2 linked regions of the Drosophila melanogaster genome follow. The protein of the gene in region 1 interacts with the protein of each later gene in a pairwise test. Each region holds a gene or a part of one and is shown on either strand. Other genes may lie near its edges.

Region 1 (3,262 bases):
ACCGCTCCCCATCCTTCCCTTTGCCCATTCAGCTGGCTCCCTGCGTTGTTGTTGCCATTGATTTATCGTGATCTGTTGGTTGTCGATTTTTTGCTGTTATTTTGTTCGTTTGCCGGTTCGGCGTTGTTGCCTCTTGCTGCTTACAACTTTTTTTTTTGTTGCTCTTTTTTGTCTCATTTTTTTCTGTTGTATCTTTTTTAGTAATTTTTTTTCGGTTTTGTTAAAAATGTTGATTATTGCAAATTGCTTTGGCGATTGGTAGCAGCTACTTAGTTGTGTTTTGTTGCTTGTTCTTGGCAATTGTTTGAACAGCAACCAGATCAACCCAAAAAAAAAAGTAGTGGAAGCAAAAAAGCATTGCAAAAATGGTTTATGGTGGCGATTATGTTGGCTACTGCCACCGATCGCCCTCCCAGTTCCGACTTCACCCAATCTCGATGTGTGTCTAACGGTTTGGGTGCTCTGGTTGTCTAAGATCTTTAGATCGGTGGCATGCCTAATTGGTTTTTATTATACAACCGGCAACATGTGCCCGCCTCGGTATGCAAATGGTGTCTATTGTTACGCCTACACAAGACCCAAAAAGTCCCTAATAAAAATAAATGTATGTGAATACGGTGCGGTTCGAAACTGACAAAGCGCTCTTAGCAAAAATTTCATCGATAGAAACTAGACCCACTTGGTATTAATACCTTAAGGTCAAAACCACGCATATGTAAGGCACTTTTTAAACTAATATATTAATTAGATTTTAAAAAGTAATACCATTTTTATTTCCAAAAGAACATTTATGGTTTTGAAACGCGCTGTATGCATCTGTAAAAGATACAAGATTTCGCATATGTCCAAAGAGTATTGGTTGACGTGAAAAAAAAAACAAAAGAACTTAAAAAGCCATTGGACCAAGCCTAGGGAAAAAGTCTAGCCAAATCTTTTAAAACTTCCAATACTATTAAGAACATGTATTAAATATGCAAATTAAGTTTATAAATAAAAACAAAAAAAAAAAAATACAAACTGAATGAAGCAGACAGACATCGTATTTCTGTCAATGGTCACGTAGCAAAATCAAGTTATGTGTATAACTATATTTATTTAACATTCGTGATTTCGTCAGGGGATACATTTTATCAGTTATATTCGACAGGTGAGAAGAATTCGCATCGAATTTACATTAATTCTTCAAAAGTCCAAAATCGCATAATGTATTTATGATATAAACACAGTCTTCAAACCAGTTATTTGTCCGACCCTTAAACATTCATTTGTCATATCGCATTAAGGCTGGCTTAATAAGCCACTCTAATTTGAGTATAAACAATTATAAATTATGAAAATGATGCGGCTTATCCAATCTCTCTTCAGACGACCACCCCGACGAATTGAGTGAACCCACGGCCAGATGCGAATCGACTATACGTAAATCCGAATCTGTCGTGGTCGCACCACTCAATTTCCACACCCCAGGTGCCGATAGTCTAGAATGTCTCATTAATATTAATATGGTCAGCCGTTCGCCCAAATCATATGGCCCAACTAGTATCTTTGTATCTATGTATCTTTGTATCTTTCTGCTAAGGCCTAAGGCTTGTTAAGGTATTTCGTTTTGGTTTTTTTCTTCTCTTTTTTTTTTTTTGCGCTCGGAAGATAAATTGGCTTTATTTATATTAGTTAATATATAATCTTTAACACCATTAATTTAGTTGCGCGTATTAATTGCTGCTGATTTCGCTTGTCAAATCACATTTAGTCGCCGTCTGGGCCTTATTATATTTTTTTTTTTCGTCTTATTTGTTTTTAAATTCAAGTTTTTCAAGTTGTTTTTCTTTTTCTTTTCTTGGCGGGTTCTTTGTTATTGCCTCTTTTTGACAGCAAAAGCGTGCTCTTGTGTAGACACATTCGTGTTGGCCGCTTTTTTGTTTCGTGGTTTTGATTAATTTACCATTGGCTGCGAACAGAAGCCGCATCGGTTTGGTTTCTCTTCGAGGTATTAATTTATTAAAATGTTAATTAATTTGTCAGGCGTCGACAGGCGTTGAATTCGCTTGATAAATAGTCCAAAATAGTGGCAAGTTCGAATGGGAAATGATATCTCTCTTTACTTTTCCAAATCAACATGGCTCAGAAATTTACGTATTTTAATAGCGATTCCATGTAAGTCTCTAGAATATGTCTGACAAGGATAAGAAAGATAAACCGGAACAGTTGGATGATGATTCCAGTGACGACGATGCCAACCAGAGAGCAGTTCGAGATCAGTATTCCGATCCTACCATCAGTGCATCCCCCTCGATTCTGCGACACCCCAACGCTCCCCGTCCTGATATTTCAAGTGCCCCCTCGGTTGTCATTGCGTTGCCAAGTAGCGAGACCCTCGTCGTGACCGAGGAAACTCCGGAGGAGCGACTCCGGCGAAGAATGAGGTTTCTCGAGTTGCGGCGTGAGCACTACAACTACGTCAGCCATAGCGAGCAATGCAACATGGCGGATACGGAGGATGAAGATCACACGGAGAATCACCCAAAGTGTGAAGCCAATTGCAAGCCGGAATAGAGATTGGTTTCATTTTTTTTTAATTTTTAATTAAAACTACCGAAACTACCTTTCAATTAAATTAGCATAAAGTACTTTTACCAAATCTTTCCCTATAATCAATATGAGTGGACAAACCAATTTGTTATGTGATCGGTTGAGCGCTGCTCTAATGAATCATTCGAACAGATCACATGGGTCACGGCTATATCACGAATCAGTGATGCAATGAATCAATGATTCAATAAAGCCATGTCTCTCCGGAGTGTACCCCCGAACTTCCACTTCCACTTCCACTCACCTGGCAAATGAGCTGACGGTGAGTTCGCCGTTGTGGCTACTGCTATTGCTCCCTGGACTCAGCCGCTCCCTCTTGACGCTGTGGCCCAGACTTGGTTGACTCGATTGATGGTTGTTGATGATGCTGCTGCTGCTGCTGCTACTGCTGTTGTTGTTGTTGATGGTGTTGTTGTTGTTGTTATTGTGTATGGTGACCATCGGTGCATCCTTATGATTGTCCATCTTCTCATGCTTGACCTTCTCCAAATAGAAAGCAGCATAGGCGGCTGCCACCGATGCCGTATTTGCATTGGTGGTGCAAGTGCTGCCGGCAGAGGAGGACGACATGGATGAGGAGGATGCTGAGGAGGCGGGTGCACTTAGTTGGCTGGTAGTGGGCGTGGCAGCCTGACCGGCCGCACCACCACCACCACCACCCGCACCACCGGTC
Region 2 (3,717 bases), on another chromosome or scaffold:
GAAAATTGAAAATTGAATATTTCCGGCGACACAATGGGATGGCCGCAACAAAGGCAGCGACAACAGCAGCTGAGAAGCAGTTCTGCTGACCTAACCACACACACACACCCTTTTGCACTCCACCCAGCATTTCAACCTTTTCAAATCCAAATTCAAGCGTGCGATTTTGCTTTTCTTCTTTTTTGCGAGTCGAAAATTGCATTGCTGCGGTAAAAAGGGGGAGCTGCTTTGCGGAGGGGTTCGGAAAATATGGCAGCAAGCGGAAACGGAAATAAGCCAAGCGCCTTTGACTGCTTCAGATTTCGAGAGACGGTTGAAAGCTGTTCGACTTTGAGTCCCCAGTGAGGCGATTGAGTTGAAATTCCTTAAAATTGGTATTTAGATGGAAACGAAAAGAGGGTTTTCCACTTAAATAATAGCTTACTTTCTATAAACTAGGTCGCATCAAATCAAGTAACACGTGAAATTGCGTTGATTGCATTCTTCGCATTTCATTGTGTGATTTTAAACCGCAATGCTGCTTCTAAAACCATATCACATAGTCCCATATATGCCCTAAGTACCCATATCGAAAAGAACGATGGGGATTATCCCACTTTGGCCACAATTTAATTACATTTGCCGCACAAGGGAACCCTTCAAAGCTCCCGCAGCGCATTAGAGAACCGCTGGGGCATTGAATTAAACTGACATTAAAATAGATTCCGAATGGTGGCTGAGGAAAAAATGCAAACAAACCCGGGAGTGGGCGAGGAAATGGGTTTTTCCCCGGGCCATGCATTAAATCCACCACAGAAAACAATGCACAAATCCTATTTGAGCGCCGCTTGCAATTAAATACATTCTGGGCGGGACAAATGGGTCGGTGGGCTTCAAAGTTGCCAGTGGTTTTTAGGTTGCCCGAGTGGTAAAACACACATGAGTCCCGGGTGGAGCCACTACAGCCGGAAGTACACAAATCGCATAAAATCCAAAAAGGGCGCGATGTGGGACACAAGGAGCTGGGTCCGAACTGAGATCTGAGAGTTGGGTCCAAAAAAAGAGAGTGACATAAAAAGCAAACAGTGTCGACACTGATTCAAAAATGTATTCAAAATGCGCTCCGAGAACTGCAGGAAAGCGTTGGGCTGGGAAATAAAGGATTTTTTCGAGCGGGAACTTAAAACCCTAGATGGCCCGAAATGCTATCAAAAAGCTCCTCGCTCCCGTTCACTCCTTTAAGCCGCATTACAAGTGCAGGAAGCCCTGTGAATCGGGATTACGAGTAGCCAAAATGCAGCTGGGTCCTTGATTCGTGGCCAAAGGGGGAGTGGGTGGCTTCGCCCACGCGGTTCAAGGGTCAACTGCGAGTAAACAAGCAACTTTGCGGCGCTTTTGCTTTGTTATCGAAAGCGAACATTTTAATGTTTTCCGTCTTTTTGTTTTTGCCAAATTTATGCCAAGTGTCTGATAATTGAAACGGTCGAGGTGCAAAAGATAGTGCCAAAGTGAATTGGAGAGGATTCGGATTATCGGCCAGAGAAACAAAATGTTAAAGTAAACGGAGTGAAAAACTCACGCGAAACAACTAAGTTTTAAAGTGCAGTTTTATACCAATTCCAGTTAACAACTTAAGCTTTAAGAAAAAACTACACGAAGTGTTGTTTTTGACTTTCGAATATATTTTGCCTAAGCTACAAAAGGATGGGAAGGCTTTGATAACGTTGTACCATTTGCTTTGTGTTTCCTTTCGGTAAGAAAAGTTACCAGACGAAAACTGTAACACTCCATCCGTAATTCAGAAATAAGAAAACGATGTCTCGTCGTTCGACCGTTTTATCAACTGGTAAGGAGAGCTCCAAGGAGGAAAAGAATCGAATGTCCCAATTGGACGTTATTATCGGTCAACTGAAGACGATGGCGGTTGGAAACCGGAGGGCCGGAAATCTATCCGAGGCCACCATCACATATATATGCCAGGCGAGCCGAGAGCTGTTTCTATCCCAGCCGATGCTCCTCGAACTGAGTGCTCCGGTAAAGATCTGCGGGGATCTGCACGGTCAGTTCAAGGATCTATTGAGGATATTCCAGCAGTGCGGTGTGCCACCGCTTTCAAACTACCTATTCCTTGGGGATTACGTGGATCGGGGTCACTGCTCCATCGAGACTTTATCGCTGCTGTTGACCTATAAGCTTCGCTATCCGGAGACTTTCTTCCTGCTGCGCGGCAATCATGAATCGGCGGATTTGAATCGGGTATATGGGTTTTTCGACGAGTGCAAGCGACGATATAGCATCAAGTTGTGGCGCTCCTTTGTCGATTGCTATGACTGCATGCCAGTGGCCGCCATCATAGCCGATCGCATCTTTTGCGTCCACGGCGGACTGAGTCCGGATCTGAATAACCTGGATGACATCCGGCGGCTGAATCGCCCCACCGATGTGCCCAGCGATGGGCTGCTGTGCGATTTGCTTTGGTCGGATCCGGATGAGACCACCGGAACGTGGGCGTCCAACGATCGAGGTGTCAGCTTCACCTTTGGAGCCAACATAGTGGAGGGCTTCCTCATGCAGCACAAGTTTAACCTGATTGTCCGCGCCCACCAAGTGGTCGAGGATGGCTACGAGTTCTTCGCCGACCGCCAGTTGGTCACCATTTTCTCGGCCCCGAACTACTGCGACATCTTTGATAACTGCGGAGCTGTTCTGGTGGTGGACGCCAAACTGGTCTGCCACTTTGTCATCATCCGTCCGAGACCGTTTTCGCGACCCACGGGCTTTGAGTCGGATAGTGGATCTACAGCTACGGCGACCAATGGACCACCGCCGTCCATGAGGGAGAAGAGGCTTTATTAGGTTTGTTCGTTCAATATTTTATATTTTATATTTTATTGCTCTTGTTTTTGAATCGATTATTTTGCTTTCAATTGCGGCTTAATCGAAGGACAATTGAAGGTCGGGCAGACCCCAAAGAAAAGTGTAATAAATCTTCATTTAAATTTAATTAAAATTCCCAATGACCGAGTGGGTGGGGTAAAGACGGCGGGATGAAAATGGGGACACAAATCGTTCTGACAAGGGGGAATACATGAGGCGGGGTCAGAGGTTAACAGCTCGGCAGGCGAATGAGGTGGAGGTGGTAGCTTTTGTTTGACTTTGTAAAACGTCTACCTGGCCACACTTTATGCCAGGGAAAATAATTCCGTGCGCAAATATTTAAATGTGGCCAACGGGAGAAGCCGGTGGCCCGGAGGCGGGGTCTCCGTTCTGTCGGCCCGCAGGCAAAACTCGTTTTGTTTACAAAAACCTGGCATCGTAATTTATACATTCATGTGTGTAAACATAAACAAAAGGTTCCAAGGCAAGGAAAAGTGCCAGCAGGTGAAACTGCGGGCGGGGCGGCCAAAGAAAATAACTTTAATAATCTGGGAAAACACAAATAACATCCGAGTGTGGGTGCGTTTGTGTGTGTGTAGAAAAACAAGCAACTTTATTTATTATGTGTTCAATTGCAATGGCCAAAGGCATTGGCAAAATGAGGGTGGCATACGAGGCGTATGCGTGATTTCTGATGCACAGCCGGCGCATAAATCACATAATTGCGGCTGCCTGCGGCCATTTTGAATTGTAATTAATTTGTAATTTGTTGTACATATTTATCGAACCATTCTATCCCATTTAAATCAATTGTGTAACGATTTTGTTAAATATTTTATGGCCCGTGTAAGTTATGAATGG

Evidence for each region.
Region 2: the proteins of CG18666 (region 1) and PpD5 interact in a two-hybrid assay, tested with the Drosophila melanogaster proteins (2 studies listed by BioGRID).

Annotation. Positions count from the first base shown.
Region 1 is NT_033779.5:11,032,683-11,035,944, forward strand, and holds CG18666 (uncharacterized protein), read left to right. Parts: upstream 1-2,112; 5' UTR 2,113-2,169; coding exon 2,170-2,553; 3' UTR 2,554-2,626; downstream 2,627-3,262. Other genes in the region: Samuel (SAM-motif ubiquitously expressed punctatedly localized protein), read right to left, coding at 2,834-3,262.
Region 2 is NT_033778.4:22,040,931-22,044,647, reverse strand, and holds PpD5 (protein phosphatase D5), read left to right. Parts: upstream 1-1,702; 5' UTR 1,703-1,794; coding exon 1,795-2,835; 3' UTR 2,836-2,981; downstream 2,982-3,717.